Linked DNA regions of Elephas maximus indicus. The protein of the gene in region 3 interacts with the protein of the main gene of each other region in a pairwise test. Links are inferred from orthologs where the notes say so. Each region holds a gene or a part of one and is shown on either strand. Other genes may lie near its edges. The genes, in order: GFAP, SRSF1 and NXF1.

Region 1 (7,316 bases), on a different chromosome or scaffold from region 3:
TTTTGATTTCTTGACTGCTGCTTTCATGGCTGTTGATTGTGGATCCAAGTAAAATGAAATCCTTAACAACTTCAATCTTTTCTCTGTTTATCACGATGTTGCTCCTTGGTCCAGTTGTGAGGATTTTTGTTTTCTTTATGTTGAGGTGCAACCCATACTGAAGGCTGTGGTCTTTGATCTTCATTAGTAAGTGCTTCAAGTCCTCTTCACTTTCAGGAAGCAAGGTTGTGTCATCTGCATAACGCAGGTTGTTAATAAGTCTTCCTCCAATCCTGATGCCCCGTTCTTCTTCATATAGTCCAGCTTCTCGGATTATTTGCTCAGCATACAGATTGAATAGGTATGGTGAAAGAATACCACCCTGGTGCACAACTTTCCTGACGTTAAGACAATCAGTGTCCCCTTGTTCTGCCTGAACAACTGCCTCTTGATCTATGTAAAGGTTCCTCATGAGCACAATTAAGTCTTCTGGAATTCCCATTCTTTGCAATGCTGTCCATAATTTGTTATGATCCACACAGTCGAATGCCTTTGCATAGTCAATAAAACACAGAGAAACATCCTTCTGGTATTCTCTGCTTTCAGCCAGGATCCATCTGACATCAGCAACGATATCCCTGGTTCCACATCCTCTTCTGAAACCAGCCTGAATTTCTGGCAGTTCCTGGTCGATATACTGCTACAGCCATTTTTGAATGATCTTCAGCAAAATTTTGCTTGCATGTGATATTAATGATATTGTTCTATAATTTCCACATTCGGTTGGATCACCTTTTTTGAGAATAGGCATAAATATGGATCTCTTCCAGTCAGTTGGGCAGGAAGCTGTCTTCCATATTTCTTGGCATAGACGAGTGAGCACCTCCAGTGCTGCATCTGTTTGCTGAAACATCTCAATTGATAGTCCATCAATTCCTGGAGCTTTGTTTTTCGCCAATGCTTTCAGAGCAGCTTGGACTTCTTCCTTCAGTATTATCGGTACCTGATCATATGCTACCTCTCGAAATGGTTGAACATGGACTAATTCTTTTTGGCATAATGACTCTGCGTATTCCTTCCATCTTCTTTTGAGGCTTCCTGAGTCATTTAATATTTTCCCCATAGAATCCTTCACTATTGCAACTCGAGGCTTGAATTTTTCCTTCAGTTCTTTCAGCTTGAGAAACACTGAGCGTGTTCTTCCCTTTTGGTTTTCCACTTCCAGCTCTTTGAACATGTCATTATAATACTTTGTCTTCTCGAGAGGCCCTTTGAAATCTTCTGTTCAGTGCTTTTACTTCATCAATTCTTCCTTTTGCTTTAGCTGCTCGACATTCAAGAGGAAGTTTCAGAGTCTCCTCTGACATCCATCTTGGTCTTTTCTTTCTTTCCTGTCTTTTCAATGACCTCTTGCTTTCTTCATGTACGATGTCCTTGATGTCATTCCACAACTCGTCCGGTCTTTGGTCACCAATGTTCAATGCATCAAATCTATTCTTCAGATGGTCTCTAAATTCAGGAGGGATATACTCAAGGTCATATTTTGGCTCTCATGGACTTGCTCTGATTTTCTTCAGTTTCAGCTTGAATTTGCATAAGAGCAATTGATGGTCTGTTCCACAGTCGGCCCCTGGCCTCGTTCTGACTGATGATATTGAGCTTTTCCATCGTCTCTTTCTACAGATGTAGTCAATTTGATTTCTGTGTGTTCCATCTGGCGAGGTCCATGTGTATAGTTGCCGTTTATGTTGGTGAAAGAAGGTATTTGCAATGAAGAAGTCGTTGGTCTTGCAAAATTCTATCACTCAATCTCCAGCATTGCTTCTATCACCAAGGCCATATTTTCCAACTACTGATCCTTCTTCGTTTCCAACTTTCACATTAAAATCACCAGTAATTATCAATGTATCTTGATTGCATGTTCGATCAATTTCAGACTGCAGCAGCTGATAAAAATCTTCTATGTCTTCGTCTTTGGCCCTAGTGATTGGTGCGTATATTTGAATAATAGTTGTATTAACTGGTCTTCCTTGTAGGCGTATGGATATTATCCTATCACTGACAGCATTGTACTTCAGGATACACCTCGAAATGTTCTTTTTGACGATGAATACACCACCATTCCTCTTCAAGTTGTCATTCCCAGCATAGTAGACTATATGATTGTCCAATTCAAAATGGCCAATACCAGTCCATTTCAGTTCACTAATGCCTAGGATATCGATGTTTATGTGTTCCATTTCATTTTTGACGATTTCTAATTTTCCAAGATTCATACTTCGTACATTCCAGGTTCCGATAATTAATGGATGTTTGCAGCTGTTTCTTCTCCTTTTGAGTCATGCCACATCAGCAAATGAAGGTCCTGAAAGCTTTACTCCATCCATGTCACTAAGGTCGACTCCACTCTGAGGAGGCAGCTCTTCCCCAGTCATCTTTTGAGTGCTTTCCAACCTGAGGGGCTCATCTTCCAGCACTATATCAGACAATGTTCCGCTGCTATTCATAAGGTTTTCACTGGCTAATGCTTTTCAGAAGTAGACTGCTGGATCCTTCTTCCTAGTCTGTCTTAGTCTGGAAGCTCAGCTGAAACGTGTCCTCCATGGGTGACCCTGCTGGTATCTGAATACCAGTGGCATAGCTTCCAGCATCACAGGAACACACAAGCCCCCATGGTATGACAAACTGACAGACACCGTGTCTCATATATACAGGCACAATTCACCCGACTTCACTGACAAGTCCTTCCTGCTTTTGTTACATCTTTTCTCTCCAGGATTGTCTTGTACTCCTTTCAAATAGATTTACTTGAACAAAAAGGGGAGACCGCACACTGTGACTTGCCCAGCAACATGGAAGGGCAAGCCACCCTCCTCGCCACAGAAAATTGGGACAAGGATGAATAGCACAAGGATTCATCCGCAGTCTTGCTCTTCCTTTAAAGCCTCCATCTGTTCCCAGCTCCCCAGCCCAGCAGGATCAAAGGTCAGTGGGTGCCCCCTCCTAACGATGACCCTCCCCATGCTACTGGTCAAGACTCAGAGTTACATGTGGCTAGAGACTCAGGAACTCTCACCTCTGCCCCTCAGAGCTGGGACTCTCAGGGGAAGCCCTCATGTCTGGCCCTAGCAGGCAGCAAATACCCGGTGTGTGGTGGGGGGTATTACCCGGACAGAGGCTCAAGGGCCTGAGCTGGCTGAGAGCTGAGGAGGAGCGGGCAGCCTCCTCTGGCAAGCTGGAGACCTGGCAGTGCCGAGCTGGCCACCCCCAGGGCCTTTCCCTCATGCCCACTGGATGACTCACCTTGGCACAGACACAATGGTACGGGGTGGGCACAGAGCCTGCTTCCCGCTGCACCCAGCCCCCTCAGATGCTTTCCGAGAAACTCATTGAGCAGAGGGCTCAGGCTGCGCCCTGGCCTGACAGCCTGCCATCTTGGGAAAAAAGCAGCACAGCCCCCTGGGGGGCTGCCCTTGAAGTGTGGCACCCTCACCAGCAGTGGAGAACAAGGCTCCTTTCAGCAAGTGCCTGGGGAAAGGAATGGGAGGCCCAGGCATGGACAGTGGGCTATGGCGATGGGGGGGGGGGCATGGAGGGCTATCCGCTTCCCAGAGGTCCAAGGACACATATTGGCAAGGGGCTGGGCAGGGGGAAGAGGTGGACCTGGCTCCCGGCCTATACACAGTGGCTCCCGATTTCCCAAACTTACCCATCCCTGGAGGCTTTTCCCATCTTCCCAGCCTGATGTGTGGGAACTCAAAGGTGATACATCTCCAGCAGGAGAATGAGGGGGTGGCCAGGGAAACAGGGTGTCACAACAACAAAGATGTGAGCAGGGACAGCCAGGTCATTGGTAACTCCTTTGTGGAGCTGTCAAGGCTCAGGAAGGGAGTACAATGAGGCCAGGCGGGGTCTCAAGAGTGGCCCAGGGAGAGGGTCGGGAGTACAGTGTTGGGCCCTCTTCCATACCGGGATCCCCAAAGCCTCTTCTGTCAACCCCCAACTGCTAGATAGAGACTCAGCTGACCGTCCAAACAAAGGGCTGGAGTCCAGTCCAGCTCCCAGCCCCAGAACTCCTGGGAAGGGTGAGGAAGTGGGAATGGCAGATGTCTGTGTCCAGAGGGGAGGATGTCCAGGAAGCTGTCAGGAAGGGGGCTGGGTAGGAAACTGTAACATAAGCTGTTCCTTGAGAGTCTGGAACAGGTTTGTTATTCGCCAAATTCCCATCATCAAGCAGGCACTCGATGGGTGAGGGGATGCCTGGGTGATGGAATTTGAGAGTTAGAAGGTAGGTTAGATGTCCCCTGATTCAGCCCCTTCTTGACCCACCTTCCTAGAAAGGGGGTCTCCTTGTCCAGTGGCTAGGGCCCTAGACCCAGAACCTGGTCCCAGGCACTACCCATCAGTGCCCCTCCCTGACTGTGGCCCAGGCCAGGGCTGGCATGCCCAGGAAGCCCTGCCTCTGGGCACAGTGACCTCGGTGGGGTGAGAGGAGCTCTCCCCATGGCTGGGCTGCGGCCCAACCCCACCCCCTCAGGCCATGCCAAGCGGTGTTGCCAGGGCAGCCTGGGCAGTGCCAGGCCAGCCCACTCCTCCATAAAGCTCTCAGATGCCAGAAGCAGGCAGAGCCCGGCCCTGATGGAGCGGAGACGCATCACCTCGGCGGCCCGCCGCTCCTATGTCTCCTCCTCAGAGACCATGGTGGGGAGCCTGGGTCCCGGCCGCCGCCTGGGGCCTGGCACCCGCCTCTCTCTGGCCCGAATGCCCCCTCCACTCCCGACCCGGGTGGACTTCTCCCTGGCTGGGGCACTCAATGCCGGCTTCAAGGAGACACGGGCCAGCGAGCGGGCTGAGATGATGGAGCTCAATGACCGCTTTGCCAGCTACATTGAGAAAGTGCGCTTCCTGGAGCAGCAGAACAAGGCACTGGCTGCCGAGCTGAACCAGCTACGGGCCAAGGAGCCCACCAAGCTGGCCGATGTCTACCAGGCAGAACTGCGTGAGCTGCGGCTGCGGCTCGACCAGCTCACCGCCAACAGTGCCCGGCTCGAGGCGGAGAGGGACAACCTGGCGCAGGACCTGGGCACCCTGAGGCAGAAGTGAGGACGGGTACCGAAGAGAGGGGTTCTTGAGCAGGGGGACTGAGCTCCTGAGAGGGGTGCCACGGGCCTGCAAGGATCTTGGGTGCAGGGCTCTGCCTCCTTGCTCCCTGGGTTTCTCCACCTCTGGGACAAGAAGGCGATCCTTGTTCCACCATACAGTGGGAGGGACCAGGGAGAGGCCTAACACCTCAGAAGATCAGTCCAGGTACTCTTAGCACCTCCCAACCAGGGGAACGCATGGCAGAGACCTGAGTGGGTGGGGTCTTTCAGTTTCATCCACTGCTGGGCCTCCTGACTGCAGGCAGGGCGTTCGCCTTTTCTGAGCCTGGGTCTATATAGAGGAGGTGTGAAAAGGGGAGAAGGTGGGTGTCTACAAGGAGAATGGGGAGGGGAAGGAGGCAGGGGAAACTGCAGGCAGGCCTGGCTTCAGAACACACTCTGCCTATCATCACCTTGTGACCTTAAGCAAGCCACCTCAACCTGTGCAGCCTTGAAGTGGGGGTCATAATAAACCCTATTTCAATAGTTATTTGCCCAGGGTCTGAGAAGCCGCAGGGACACGATGTTTGCTGAGCTGGCAGGGCATGCAGGATGGCCTGCAAGTGCAGGAGGAGTGTGTGTTTGTGCACACAGCAGCAGCAGGTGCTGTGGATGTGCCTGCCTGAGCGGGAGCAGGTCCACCAACTCTGATAAGGCCCCTTGGTAATGAGTTAAAGCAAAGTCCCTGGACTGCTCACCCTGCTTGTCAAGTCCTCTGTCTAGGACCCCTCTGACCCTGGCTCTCCTGCCACTCTACCAGTCCTGGGAGCCTGGGGAGAGACCCGAGAGTCCTCAGAAGAGCTTGGACCCAGGAATGTGTCTTTCCCACCCCAGACTCCAGGACGAAACCAACCTGAGGCTGGATGCGGAGAATAATCTGGCTGCCTATCGACAGGTCAGGGAGGTGGAGGGGTGGGGCAGGGAGGAGGGATAGGCTTGCAGGCAGCCCACTCCAACAGAGCCCCCCCAGCCCAGCCCTCCAGAGCAATGTGCTGCTCCCCCCTGGTCCCCGAAGAAGGGATAAACAAGGCTGGGAAATGTGGAGGAAGAGTCTGGGGTCCAAGTGGCCCTTTGTCTCCTCCCCATTCCAGGAGGCAGATGAAGCCACCCTGGCCCGCTTAGATCTGGAGAGGAAGATTGAGTCACTGGAGGAGGAGATTCGGTTCCTGAGGAAGATCCATGAGGAGGTGAGGCCAGGGCAGAGGGAGGAGGGCCCAAAACAGAGACTGAAATGGACAGAGATGGAGAAAGACGCTCTGAGCCGTCATTTTGGTATTGACTGATAGAGAAACAGAATGAGAGAGAAACAGAGTGAGAGACAGAGAGACAGATACAGAGAGAGACTAAGAGAGAGAGACAGACAAGAGTATCCAACCCCTAGTAAAACGCACACACTCAACGCCCCAACTCCATTTACTGAGTGTTACGATGGGTCCTATTGCCTCATTTTTTTTTTTTTTCCTTCACAACAGCCCAATGAAGTAGAATCCATTCCAGTATCATCCCCTCTTCACAGATTAGGACACTGAGGTGCAGAGGGGTTAAGACACTTGGTAAGGTCACCTAGCTAGTTTGACTCCAACCCCCCTCTGCCATCTGTCTCCCTTAAAATGACAGCCACTTATAAGAACCCCTGAGCTCTGGCCTCAGATCATAGATTCAGAATCCATGTTGCCATGGAATCAGGAACACAGGCACCCCCATTCACAGAAATATAGTCACTGTCCCCCAAGAATGCAGGCACACTCTCAGAGCCAGCTCCGGCCTGTCCAGCTCTGGGAAGAGGACACCATGAAGCCCCAAACCATCCCGTGTCTCCCTTAGCCTGGGCCGTGCCACTTTCTCCAACTAGGGCTGCCCCAATTCCCTTAGCTGTGTCCATGTCCAAGAGGGCATGATGCTGCAGGAAACCCTGGCTGTCGCCTGAGTCCTAAGCCCTGGGACTTTTCTCACGCTGGCCAGGAGGTACGGGAGCTCCAGGAGCAGCTGGCCCAGCAGCAGGTCCACGTGGAGGTGGACACGGCCAAGCCAGACCTCACAGCGGCCTTGAGAGAGATCCGCACGCAGTACGAGGCAGTGGCATCCAGCAACATGCATGAGGCAGAGGAGTGGTACCGGTCCAAGGTAGCCTAACTGTGGGCAAGCCTGTCTCCTCCAGGCAGCTCTCCTTGTACCATACGGGAGAATTGGGAGGGA
Region 2 (7,029 bases), on a different chromosome or scaffold from region 3:
CCCCCCAACAAATGAATAAATACCAAAAAACCAAACACGTTGCCATCGAGTTGATTCCAACTCATAGCAACCCTACAGGGCAAAGTAGAACTTTCCCACAGGGTTTGGGTTTCCAAGGCTATAATCTTTACAAAAGCAGACTGCCACAACTTTCTCCCTCGGAGCAGCTAGTGGGATCAAACTGCCAACTTTTCAGTTAGCAGCCTAGTGCTTAACCACTGGGCCACCAGAGTTCCTAAATGAATAAATAGTTTGGTTTATTTGCATTATTGTATGTTGACGCTTGTAGACTGAAATATCTTAATCAACTCCAGGACATGATAACATTAAGATCACCTCCTTAATTGCAGCAATCATCAAGTTAATGTTATCCTAAGAGACCTCTTCCTACCATGCCCTAAGCCCATCACCTACAATTTGGTTAAATTAAAATATAAAAAAGAGGCTAATAGATAAACAACAATACTCTATTCACATCTATTAAGCTTTATCTTGTATTCCTCTGAACCAAACAAAATCAGAAATAATTTCATTAAATTGGACAAACGAGAATAAACCAAAACAAATGCACGGTTTTCTAATTTTTTCGGCATGAAAATGTCTTGAAATTAAAAGCACCCGTACCTATTTACTCTGTATGCTGAGCAAATAATCTGAGAAGCTGAACTATATGAAGAAGAATGGGACATCAGGATCGGAGGAGGACTCATTAACAACCTGCGTTGTGCAGACGATACAACCTTGCTTGCTGAAAGTGAAGAGGACTTGAAGCACTTACTGATGAAGATCAAAGACCACAGCTTTCAGTATGGATTACACCTCAACATAAAACAAAAATCACAACTGGATCAATAAACCACATCATGATAAACGGAGAAAAGACTGAAGTTGTCAAGGCTTTCATTTTACTTGCATCCACAATCAACACCCATGGAAGCAGTAGTCATGAAATCAAAAGATGCGTTGCAGTGGGTAAATCTGCTGCAAAGGACCTCTTTAAAGTGCTGAAATCAAAATTGTCACCTTGAAAATTAAGGTGCGCCTGACCCAAGCCATGGTATTTTCAATCACATCATATGCATGTGAAAGCTGGACAATGAATGAGGAAGACTGACAATTGACACCTTTGAATTATGCTGTTGGCAAAGAATATTGAATATACCATGGACTGCCAAAAGAAGGAACAAATCTGTCTTGGAAGAAGTACAACCAGAACGTTCCTTAGAAGCAAGGATGGTGAGACCGCGTCTTACATACTTTGGACATGTTGTCAGGAAGGATTAATCCCCGGAGGACATCACGCTTGGTCAAGTAGAGAGTCAGCGAAAAAGAGGAGGGCCCTCAACAAGATGGATTGACAGTGGCTGCAACAATGGGCTCAAGCATAACAAGGGTTGTAAGGATGGCGCAGGACCGGGCAGTGTTTCATTCTGTGATACAAACGGTCGCTATGAGTCAGATCCAACTCGATGGGATGGTACCTAACAACAACAACATGAGGGTTCATTCCCTGGAGGATATCATGCTTGGTAAAGTACAGGGTCAATGAAAAAGAGGAAGACCCTCAATGAGATGGACTGACACGGTGGCTACAACAATGGGCTCAAACATAACAACAACTGTGAGGATGGCACAGGACCATGCAGTGTTTTGTTCTGTTGTACACAGGGTTGCTATGAGTTGGAAATGACTCAACAGCACCTAACAACAACATGTTTAAATCACTTCAATTACCACTGATTTAGCACGAATCAAGACAGGCCTGAGTAATTGTACACCAATAGATAAAAATTGGAACAGAAAGAAAAGTGTGCTTAGCAAATAACTGTTAAAAGAACTAATGAGTACATGATAATGCCAAAGAATTTTTTAAAACCCTCTTCTGCTATTAACTGAATGGAAGAGTGCTAGAAACTGAATACATCTGTTGAAATGCTATCTTTTTTAATCAGCCTCTTCTATTAAAAAAAAAAATCAGATTCTTTTTTATTAAAACCTCAGTTTCAAAAAATATTGTTGAAGGACAGCCTGAAGGATAGACAATCTATCCTTTCCTCTAAAATTTTCAGAGGTTCCTTCCCTTTTTTATATCTACAGACCCCTTTAAGAATGTGATTAAAATTTCAAATCCTCTTACTTTTTTTTTTTTTTCCCCCTGAAAAAAGTACATGCACAGCACAAAGAGTCCAAGGACTACTACAGGTCCTCCATGCATCTGCTGAGGATCTACAGACCCAAAGTAAGCATTCCTGCTCACAATATTTCAAACTAAATTTATATTTTCAGATCACTAAGAGCTACGGCTGCTAACCAAAAGGACAGCAGTTCAAGTTCACCAGGCGCTCCCTGGAAACTCTATGAGGTAGTTCTATTCTGTCCTATAGGGTCGCTATGAGTCAGAATGGACTGGATGGCAACAGGTTTGGTTTTTGGTTTAGATAGACATTTGAACTAAGAAAACATGCCCTTCTCCTGTACAATTAATCTATTTTTATATCAAGGCACTTTGGGTTTTGAAAATACTTGTCTACCCTTCTTTACTGCGGCCTCTAGGAAGACCAGAGTGAAATCTGCAGTCTATCTGCAGGCTCTTACTGCAGACATTTTGTGTACTAACCTTATCCGGGACTTCAACTTAATCCCCTAACCCCTTATTTTCCCATTCCCCTGATTTCTTCATCCAGTTTTAATGTTTTATGGTATCCCTGTAAGCTGCCTTGCATCCTTGGGGAGAAGGGCTGTTGTAAATAAATACATAATATGAAGAAAATCATCCTTAAACTTAAGAGTGCAGATCTCTTTTAGCATATTTATCACTGCAGGGCTTTTTATATTTGAACTTATTTCCAACATTTTAAATAAGCCCAACATCTCACATAAAAATTCAGATTTCAGGCGTCTCTAGAAAAATGTAAAAAATTATCTCCCTGAACCAACACTCGAGGAGGATCACAGTCCCAACAACTGTGGTCTCCAATGGGAATGAGTTTAAAATCTTGCATATAATTAATAGGGGAAACTTTTGAAAACAAGATTAACTTCAGGATTTTACAAATACTACTTCTTTCTAGTTCTTTGAAAGGAGGAAAAATGACAAGCACAATCCATTTTTGAAGTATTCATGAGCCTCGCCTCTCCTCTCCGCTAGGCCTAGCAATAGGCCATCAATGAGAGGCGGTGCGGTCGGTGGTTGACACCCTTCCTGGTTGGCAAGTGCCGCCCCTGACTGATCAGGGTACGACCTACACATACCGCCGGTAACAGTTGGCGTGCTGAATCGAGCTATTCAAAGTTAAGTTCTGAGCCGAAGATGGAACGGTACTTAATGCAGAATACTTACTAAGGAACCTGAAATGCACTCCCCTAAATCAGACAGGTGTCTAAACAGCCCATGGCTTATTTGCAAGCAGCGGGGTGGGAAGGCAAGGCTACGCCCTGGCGCTCTATTAACTCCCCAGCGTCGCAATTCCTGGACTAGGCGCACTCTTGCCCGTTTCCGGAGCAACTGGCCGATCCCTCCCCCTTTGACTCCGCCCCCGGGAGTCTTTCCCGCCAAAGGCCGTTAACTTCGCGGAGCATTATGGGACAAGGCTCTAGGCTAGGTTTCACCAAATTCTAGCAAGGCGCCGAAATGCTCCAAAAGAGGCTCATTCCTGGAGACCCTGACTATCCTCGACGACCTGACAGGCATCAATAGCCCCTTTAACGAGTGCTCTGTATTTAATTTTTATCACACAACTTATCACCCCGTTGGCAAACTGCTCCGCAGCTGGGGAGCGCGGGGAACTTTTTTCTCTTCGTGCGGAAGGTCACGTCGCGGGTGCGTATGCGTCCTTTCAAATGCGTCCGTTACGCACTTGCGCGTGCGTATTGAGATCGAATAGCTGCTTCCATCCGCTTCTCTTCCTCCCTCCCCCCCATATCCGTGCGCCGAGCAGATAAAGGCGCCATTTTGGAGGGGCCGCGGGAGACGTGGTGTCGCTGCGGGCTCGCTCTGTCGTGCGCTAAGCTTGGTGGGAAGGCCTGTTCTCGAGTCCGCGCTTTTCGTCGCCGCTTTTCGTCGCCGCCATGTCGGGAGGTGGTGTGATTCGTGGCCCAGCAGGGAACAACGATTGCCGCATCTACGTGGGTAACTTACCTCCAGACATCCGAACCAAGGACATTGAGGACGTGTTCTACAAATACGGCGCTATCCGCGACATCGACCTCAAGAATCGTCGCGGGGGACCGCCCTTCGCCTTCGTTGAGTTCGAGGACCCGCGGTGAGGCGGCATGGGGCTTGCAGTCTTTACGAAATAGGTTGGAATAGTTAGGGGAGGCTCTTTTGAGAGGAGAAAGGCGCTATTGCCCATGCAGGAGTTGAGTAAGGGGTCGAGTCGGCGTAGTTTCTCCGGTGGCTGGGCCCCGTGGATATCTGCGGAGCCGACTCGCAGGCTTGGAGCGGGAAACTGAGGCGCCGGGGGCTGTTGTAGTTGTCGGGAGCCTGGCGTGCTTCTGGGTGGGGGAGGGGCCGTTCCTATTATGTAGCGCATGTGGGCTCTTTGGCCTTCGGTGCGCATGTGCGGGGGGCCGCTACGTCCCGACTGAGTTAGGCTTCCCCTTCCTATTCCTTCTCTCATGCCTTTTGCCTCCTGTGATCACGCAGAGACGCGGAAGATGCGGTGTACGGTCGCGATGGCTATGATTACGACGGTTACCGTCTGCGGGTGGAGTTTCCTCGAAGCGGCCGTGGCACTGGCCGCGGCGGCGGCGGGGGTGGAGGCGGTGGAGCTCCCCGAGGCCGCTATGGCCCACCGTCCAGGCGGTCTGAGAACAGAGTGGTTGTCTCTGGTAAGCTTACTGCTTTTGTGGGTTCATGAAAAAAGGGGCAAGAGCTGCTTTAAAGTTTTCCATGCATGACTGGTTTGACAACTGAAAATTTCATATCAGATCCTTTATTAGTTTTTTGGGTGAGTTTAGTAAGCGTGTATAACTACTAGAAATTCAGCAAAATAGATTGCAGCACTAGAGTAGGAAGATGCGTATTCTTTGCAAATCAGTTCGGATTCTGGATTCTAGAGTCTTTCAAGTACGTTCACTAAGTATTTGTTCTGGTGTACGCTATAAATTTAACGTGAAATTTGGGATAGTATTGAAAAAATAAATCACTTTTCAGGACTGCCTCCAAGTGGAAGCTGGCAAGATTTGAAGGATCACATGCGTGAAGCAGGTGATGTATGTTATGCTGATGTTTACCGAGATGGCACTGGTGTCGTGGAGTTTGTACGGAAAGAAGATATGACCTATGCTGTTCGAAAACTGGATAACACTAAGTTTAGATCCCATGAGGTAGGTTATACACTTAATTCTTTTCTTTGGCCAGAATTGGATACAGTGGTCTTAAACAGTGGAATTTGAAGGTAAGGATTCAGGCAAGGGTGTCCAAGTAAAGTACCAGATTTCTGGTATTAGTTACATTGTATTCATTCAGCATGCCTGAAGACAGGTGAAAACTTAGATGTTTCAATCGAAAGTTCTGTCTATCCAATAGGGAGAAACTGCCTACATCCGGGTTAAAGTTGATGGGCCCAGAAGTCCAAGTTACGGAAGATCTCGATCTCGAAGCCGTAGTCGTAGCAGGAGCCGTAGCAGAAGCAACAGCAGGAGTCGCAGTTATTCCCCAAGGAGAAGCAGAGGATCACCACGCTATTCTCCCCGTCATAGCAGATCTCGCTCTCGTACATAAGATGATTGGTGACACTTTTTGTAGAACCTATGTTGTATACAGTTTTCCTTTACTCAGTACAATCTTTTCATTTTTTAATTCAAAATGTTTTGTTCAGAATGGGCTGAAAAGTGTTGAATTGCATTCTTGTGTAATATCCCCTTGCTCCTAACATCTACATTCCCCTCATGTCTTTGGTAAATTGTATTTTAAGTGATGTCATAGACAGGATTGTTTAAATTTAGTTAACTTTCCATGCTCTTCAGACTGTGATATTGTGTAAATGTCTATTCTGCTCTGGTTTGTGTGAACTGGGATGTTGGGGGTGTTTGTGGTTACCTTACCTGGGGAAGTTCTTATGTTTATCTTGCCTTTTCATGTGTCTTTCTGTAGACATATCTGAAGAGATGGATTAAGAATGCTTTGGATTAAGGATTGTGGAGCACATTTCAATCATTTTAGGATTGTCAAAAGGAGGATTGAGGAGGATCAGATCAATAATGGAGGCAATGGTATGACTCCAAGTGCTATTGTCACAGATGAAATTGGCAGTATTGACCTTATACTAAAAGACAAGGATTAAAAATGATTATATACATCAACCTTAAAACAGTTGCAAACATTTTATGCAGTTACCTTTAGCTACAATTGCTTTGCTCTTTATATTTGGCAATTGTGGCAAAATTACATTGCCCATTTTGTAACAAATTTATTTTGCTCCTTTCCCCCTTTTTTTGTTTTAATAGGGACTAATGTGGGAAGAACTGGCTAATTTGTCATAGTGCTTAGTTACAACTGTTAATGTGTGACCTGCTGTTGGTGTACATGTGGGTACAGGGTGTCTTTAATTCCAACCAGATAGAGTATAATATCAATACTGCTAAATTTGCATGTCCTCTGTGTGACTGATATAGCGTTGCTATTTCATTTTTTTTTTTTTTTTAAGACAAAATGAAAGCAAAATATAGAATTCCAGCATATTGGTGTAGATAATCTAGATGGGAATACTTTGTCTCACCTTTCCCTTTAAACTAATATTCATAATTGATTCGTGTTAAAACACTTTAATTTACAAATTGCAGACGAGAGCATTATTTAGTTTAGACTTAGGTGGGTTTAGCAATACCAGTAAACTTTTCAACTACATAACTCTTTTTGCAACCACAAAACCTGTAATACGCTGTACAGTAACAAGTGTTGGCATTATCAGTTGAACTGTAAATATAAATAGCTTCTTCCAATTAGTCTCTATAATGATTAAGTTTCTAAAGTTTATCTGAACACCATTCAGAAACTTGTTTTGGGGAATTTGATAGTTATTGATG
Region 3 (6,935 bases):
TTTAGTTAGCCTCTCCAACATTATTTGGAAATCACATACGATCCAGGCTCCTCCTGTGTTTGAGACACTGAGGTTAGCTCACAGTCTTCATGACCACCTTCTCAGGACTGGGAACTGGCAGCCACTGGGCCACCCTCTCCTCTCACTTCCCAGCAGGAGTGCCAGGCTCCACCACATTCTTTGTACTTGTAGCCCACAAGTGTGTCCGCTCACAGGGACTACTTTTGCAAAGATAAGGATTTCTATTTGGTTTTTAGGATTGCATATGCAGATTGACTGGGAAATCCTTTATTTTCCTCGGGACTTTCTCAAGAGATTGCCCTTCCTCTAAGAACTTCTCTATATGTAAGAACACCTAATTCTCTAAACCGAAGGATGTCTATGTCTATTGGAAAATTTTCATCCTTTCAAGTTTCAGTTTCTTTTGCATATGCTTGTCTACATTTTCTGTTTCCTTATCCCCCTTTTCTGCTTCAGCCTGCTATAAAATTGTTCCTAAGCCCTTCAACTGAAACTGCTGGCACTGACGTAATTAACACCTTACAGTTCTTACCTCGTACTTCCATTCTCAGAGACATGTTCTCCCAGTAGGCCTTTTCTCATCCCCTGACTTCCTGTCCACATTAAATTTCTCTTCTTCTCTCACTCAGAACCAGGATTTCCTGACTCTGATGGTCTGTGAACTTTTTTCCCTATTATAAATGAGCATATATTTATTAGACAGAAATGAGTAAGTACTGATGAGCCAAAAATTACAGCTAACATTTTGAGGGATCTTACCCATGGGTTGTTGATTGTGATTCATAGCAACCCCACACGACAGAGCAGGACTGTCCCATAGGGTTTTCTGAGCTATGATCTTTACCAGAGGAGATTGCTAGTTTTTTCTCCTGTGGAGCTGCTGGGTGGGTTCTGACCACCAACCTTTTCATTAGTAGCTGAGCACTTAACCGTTGCATCACTGGGGCACCTTTACTATGGATTAGGCACTTTATATTTGTTGATTTATTTTAGACTGACAACAGCCTGAGAGGTAGGGTGTGGGATACCCTCATTTTGCAGATGAGGAAAATGAGACATGAGGTTAAGTGACTGGCTTAGGGTCATAAGCTAATAAGTACAGAGCCGGTTTTCAAACCAGAGCTAAGACTTGGTTATGTAGCCCTCCCGAGCCTTTTTTATGCCCCGTAATAGATACAAAAAAAGGTATCATATTGTATATAAACCCTTTTTGTCCCCACATATTGTGACCATCTTTCCATGTCAATAAATACACCTCAACAGCATTCTTTTTAATCCAGTGTCCTGTTTCCTTTCCTCCCGGCCTGTCCCCAGGATCGACGAGAACGTGCTAGGAGCCCAGCTGGATGTTGAGGCCGCCCACTCAGAGATCCTCAAGTACTTCCAGTCAGTCACCTCCAATCGGTGGCTCATGGTCAAAATCTTCCTCATCCTCATTGTCTTCTTCATCATCTTTGTGGTCTTCCTTGCCTGAGCCCTCTCTACTCTTAAGGCACTCCATGGGGGTTTGGAGCCCTCCCGGGAAGGCAGGTGGCCAGTGCTGCCACTGAGCCTGTGCAGGGTGCTTGGGAGAAAGGCCCTGTTTCCCTGGAACTGCTAAGAATGGCCACTGCCCCTTGACAACGTCCCCCCCCCCCCCCATCTTGCCTCTGGCTACCCTGTCCATCCTCACCATCCTCAACCCACAAAACACACACGGTTCTGGATTTGGACTCTGCTGTGAAGTGACTGGAAGGGAGCAAAGGCCAGCTGGGGGCCAGTGGGAGAGGCTGTCTCTACTATGAGTTTTTCTAAATCCTCCCCAGCCTCTCCTAAAGGAAACTTTGGCAGCAAGGGGAAATGATGCCCTTCCCCCCACCTTCCTGAGAGTGAGGAGAGGAAGAGAAACTGTCCCAGGGACCAACTTTCCCATCTGGGTTAGAACTTGACCTCTTTCTTCTTCCTTTCTTCACCATGTGAGGCTGGGGGTCCTGAGCCCCTCGGCTGCCTGCACAAACCCCAACATGGCTGCTCGTGACTCTCAATCTGCCAAATGCACTGCAGCCCATTTTCTCCCAATTACAGCAAGACTGTCAGCCTCAATAGCCATGTTGTCATTTCTGGGTGGGAGCGTCGAAGGGCCTAGGCAGCAAGTGGGTGAGACCACTGCCCAGTACCAAAACTGAAAGGGTTGCGCTGATGGCTCCAAGGGGCCCCAAGGCCGACTGTGGCAGCCTCTGAGCTCTGTACACACAGCCGCCTCCAGGGAGCAGAGAACCAAATGCAACAGCACCTCATTAGCATGAAACTTCTTTCAAAAGGAGGAGCTGGATCCCAGAGTGGGTGATTGGTGGCCAACTCTGAGACCATCTCGAACAGTGTGTGGACTGATTCCATCTGCATCCTCCAACCAGTTGACCTCAGTTCTTCTCTGAGCTGGTTGAGGCAGGAGCTCTGCCTGCTGTCAGTACCAAATAATGAAGTGCTATATGCCCTGCTCCAGCTGAGGCTCTGTGTTTTCTCCAAGCCCTCGCCAAATTGAAGCCAGTCAAAGAACAGAGGAGAAAACTGCCAGTATACCCATCCTCCAGGGAGGTTGATAGGCTGCTTTGACCTTCCTGACCAGAACCCACAACCACACCATTCTGAGATCACTGGAGTCCGTCTTTCAGACATCCCAAAGGAAACTCGAGCTATAGAGACTCCAGTCATCCTACTCAGGATCTGTCCTAGTACCTTGGGGCCTAGGGGAGCCCCTGGCTTTTTTCACCCTGGCATTTTAATAATTCCTTGCCCCTTGGCCTCTTTTCAAGGGGCCCTGGCGGCACAGTGGTTAAGCACTCAGCTGCTAACTGAAAGATCGGCAGTTCGAACCCACCAGCTGTTGCACAGGAGAAAGATGTGGCGGTCTGCCTCTGTGAAGATGACAGCCTTGGAAACCCAATGGGGCAGTTCTGTCCTGTAGGGTTAGTATGAGTCAGAATCGAGTCACAGCGGTGAGTTTGGTTTTGGCTGTGGCCTCTCTTAAGCAAGTGGTCTTGCTTGCACCTTCGTTGTCTGCCCAGTTGACATATGACGTGGGCCTAGCACAGTGCATAGTGGTTGGGGACATTTGTGAAGTGTTTGCTAAAGCCCGGCATACACGCAGCCTCATTTGACTTGGTAACTCTTCCAGGAGAGGGATGCTTAGAAGGGAAATTTACTTCACAAATATTTGAGTTCCTGCTGTGTGCCAGGCATGGTACTGGGCCAGGAGTTGGAGGGAAAAAAAGCATGAATTAAGTCATGGTCCCTGCTGTCATTCATTCATGTGTTCTCATTAGATTCCGGTGTTCAATTTCGTGGTTATTAACACATTTTATGGGTGAGAAAAACCAGGCTCAAGGTCCCTGCTGGTAAGGGGATGGGCTAAAACTTGGTCAAATGGCTGGATCCTGCTAGGTGTCCGTGAGAGAGAAATCCCACTCCGGGGTCCGGTCTCCAGTTCCTCGGAAGCCCTTGGCGCGACCCTTCTTCCCCATTTCTCTCCGAGTCCTGGGCTGGAGCAGCCTCGAGGCCGTTGGGCTGTTCGCTGCTCCCGCGCTAACTCGAGCAGGACGGATTAACTCAATAAACAGGGTACTCGCGGGCTTCGCTGTGCTTCATTACCAATCTAGGGCGCAATTTCACCTGCGTTCGACATGAACCCCAGATGAAACTGTGCACTACAGATTAGTACGCAAAGTTAACCCCGTGCATACCGTGCTTACCGGTTAACCCGCCACTGCCCCGGAGGTGCCGGAGGAGCGCCGGCCGACGTTCGAAGAAGGTGGCGGGTGAATGGGCCTGGGATTCCGGGCTCCGAAAGCGCAGCCCTCGGAGCCGGCCCCGCCCCCAGCCGCGTCCTGCCGTTTGCGCACGCGCAGTGCGCTGCGCTAGTCCCGGCGGCCCCGCCCACCAACTGGGGACGTCGGCGGCGCGCGACGTGCTCCTCCGGGCAAATGCGGCGGTGCCGGGCGTAGAGGTGTTTCGGCCTGGGTGCCTGGGCGTTCGGACGTTTGGTGGCCCGCGCCTGAGCGTCCCTGCTTGTCGCAGCGCCATGGCCGACGAGGGGAAGTCGTACAGCGGTGAGTGCTGGTCCTCGGGCGGCGGAGCGGGGCGATCCGGGGCCGGGGTGGGCGGCGCCGGCCTAGGCCTCAGCGCCGGGGCGTGAGGCCGCGAGGGGCCCGGCGTCCGTGGGGAAGGGCGCGGGGCGGGCGGGCCGGGGGCGAGGCGGCCTCGGGAGGCCCCAGCCGCACTCGAGGTGGGCGCCGGGGTTGTTGACTCGGGAATCCTGGCGTGAGGACCTGCGGCTCGAAGCGGGTGGCTCAGGGTGGGGTGACAGGATTCCTTTGAACTGTGGGTGGTTGATGCCTGTCAGTTCAGTTTGGCGGCCCGACTCTTCCTTTAATGTGACTCAGTGTATCTGGGCTGCCGTGGTGCCCAGTTTTCTACCGCGTGTAGTCGGTATCGTACCTCTTCCTGCCGTTTGAGCTTAATGTCGTAGACCACCTATACACCACCTCGATATTCTGATCTCCTGGGTTTAGTCCAGCGTAGTGTTCATGAATCAAAAACGACGTATTGCATCGGGCAGATCTGTGCCAAAGACCATCTTAAAGTGTTAAAAAGCAAAGATGTCGCTGTGAAGACTAAGGTGCGCCTGACCCAAGCCGTGGTATTTTCAAACGTCTTATGTGTATGCGAAAGCTGGGCAAAGAATAAGGAAGATGAAAGAAGAAGCGAGGCCTTTGAATTATGGTGTTCGCAAAGAATATCGAATATACCACGGACTGCCAGAAGAACGAACAAGTCTGTTTTGGAAGAAGTACAGCCAGAACGCTCGTTAGAAGCAAGAATGGCGAGAGTTCATCTCATGTACTTCAGTCACATTATCAGGAGGGATCAGTCCCTGGAGAAGGAGATCATGCTTGGTAGAGGATCAGTCAGAAAGAGGAGACCCTCAACAAGGTGGATTGACACAGTGGCTCAAACGTAGCCATGATTGTGAGGATGGCGCAGGATCAGGCAGTGTTTTGTTCTGTGGTACCTAGGGTTGCTGCGTCGGAACTGACTTGAGGGCACCTAACAACCAACAGTGGTTAGGAGTGCATGACAGCCGAGGTTTGAATCCTGATTTGGCTGCACCAAGCTTGAGTGAGTTAATTAAACTCAGGCCTTGTCTTCCGTTATCTGTAATAAGGTAATAATAGTATCTAACTCCTAAGGTGTGTGTGTGTGTGCGCTTAAATGAGATGGTTCAAGTCAAGTTCCTGGAGCATAGTGTTTAGACTGGAGAAAACGTGCAGTGAATGTGAGCTGCTGTTGTTATTCTTTTTTTTTTTCTTCCTTCCCTGGGTCAGTTTGTTGGGGTTCACTGGTCGGAGGATACTAGGCATTAGGCAGATCTTCTTGGTTGGAGGATACCAGGCGTTAGGTAGACCTTCTTGGGGAGTCATGGACCGTTTCTTAAAAGCTATTCCTACACATCTGGATTCAGAGAATCATGTCCCTGGAGCTCATTCCAGGCTCCTTTGTTGAGCATCTGTCCTAGGCTGGAGCCGCCACTCGAGCCTGAGTCTAGGAGCTGTCCCCACAGCTAAAGGCATTTCAGGCAAAGGAAATGGAGGACTCATTCACAAAACTTCAGAGTGGCAGTTTGAGAGCAGGGAGATTTTTTAAGGTGGCCCTAAAATTGGTCATATTTGGGGTTGACATTTGGTAAAAAGTACGATTTACCAAAAGCTGATGTCATCATTGTGATTGGTTAGGTTAGGAGGTGTGAGAGAAATCAGGTTACACTGAGTAGACCTGGGAGGCTGAGAGAAAGCAGGAACTTTAAGTGACTTTGGGGGTCTGATTTGTGTCCACTTATACTTTTGGATTACCCACATTTCCACAGCCTGCTTCTCCTTTCTGTAGTACGAAATTCTGCTGTCATTTTCGAAAGCCCTACACAGTTTTCCCTGGTGGTGCAGTGGTTAAAACACTCAGCAGCTAACCAGAAGTTTTGCAGTTCGAACCCATCAGCTGCTCCACGGGAGAAAGATGTGGCAGTCTGCTGCTGTAAAGATTTACAGCCTTGGAATCTCTATTGGACACTTCTGTTCTGTCCTTATAGGGTCGCTAGGACTTGGAATAGACTCTGCAGCAACGAGTTTGGTTTTTAAACACAGTTTGCCAAGAATTTTTCCTTGAAGATGCCATCTCTCAGAGAGGGCTCTTTAGACAGGCAGAGGGGTTTGTGTGGAGGTGGCCTCTGTTATATGTATCTCGTCTAGTAGTACAGGGTGACAAATACTGTGATTGCCACACCAGGGTATCTGGACTACTGATGTGTTTCTAACTAATTTGTGTTCCTGTTTCCGATTCCAGAGCACGATGACCGTGTTAGTTTACCTCGAAGAAGAAAAGGCCGGGGTCCTTTCCGTTGGAATTATGGCGAGGGGAACCGTCGCTCTGGAAGAGGCGGTTCTGGTACTCGGTCTTCTCGCCTTGGGGAAGATGATGGCGATGTGGCGATGGTTGATGCCCAGGATGGTCCCCGAGTACGATAGTAAGTGACCAGTTGGTCTGGCTGAAATTTAGTGACCCATCAGATTCTGCAGCTCTCTTACTGTCCATACCCCTTCTCTTTCCCATTTTGAAGGATGAGAAATGCCAGAATCGGCTTAATGGTTGAACACCCTCAGCTCTAGCCATGATAACAGTGTGGAGGCCTTTGAGAAGAATTTTCTAGCACTTACGGACATTTTTTTCCTCACAGCAACCCTTATGCTGCCCGACCCAACCGTCGCGGTGATAATTGGCACGATCGAGGCCGTATCCACGTCACTGTGCGGAGAGACAGAGCTCCTCCAGAAAGGGGGGCGGCTGGCACCAGCCAGGATGGGACCTCGAAGAACTGGTTCAAGATT

Evidence for each region.
Region 1: the proteins of NXF1 (region 3) and GFAP interact in a two-hybrid assay, tested with the Homo sapiens proteins (3 studies listed by BioGRID and IntAct). The two-hybrid records come from large-scale screens. The link is inferred for Elephas maximus indicus from reciprocal best matches to the Homo sapiens genes NXF1 and GFAP.
Region 2: the proteins of NXF1 (region 3) and SRSF1 interact in binary tests that used the Homo sapiens proteins (3 or more experiments, as listed by UniProt). The link is inferred for Elephas maximus indicus from reciprocal best matches to the Homo sapiens genes NXF1 and SRSF1.

Annotation. Positions count from the first base shown.
Region 1 is NC_064837.1:51,332,541-51,339,856, reverse strand, and holds the start of GFAP (glial fibrillary acidic protein), read left to right. Parts: upstream 1-4,228; 5' UTR 4,229-4,482; coding exon 4,483-5,078; intron 5,079-5,954; coding exon 5,955-6,015; intron 6,016-6,211; coding exon 6,212-6,307; intron 6,308-7,082; coding exon 7,083-7,244; intron 7,245-7,316.
Region 2 is NC_064837.1:36,041,662-36,048,690, forward strand, and holds the start of SRSF1 (serine/arginine-rich splicing factor 1), read left to right. Parts: upstream 1-3,931; 5' UTR 3,932-4,068; coding exon 4,069-4,262; intron 4,263-4,645; coding exon 4,646-4,830; intron 4,831-5,155; coding exon 5,156-5,328; intron 5,329-5,530; coding exon 5,531-5,725; 3' UTR 5,726-7,029. UniProt on the Homo sapiens protein: Plays a role in preventing exon skipping, ensuring the accuracy of splicing and regulating alternative splicing.
Region 3 is NC_064825.1:125,954,532-125,961,466, reverse strand, and holds the start of NXF1 (nuclear RNA export factor 1), read left to right. Parts: upstream 1-3,926; 5' UTR 3,927-4,078; coding exon 4,079-4,106; intron 4,107-6,393; coding exon 6,394-6,574; intron 6,575-6,784; coding exon 6,785-6,935. Other genes in the region: STX5 (syntaxin-5), read left to right, coding at 1,336-1,495.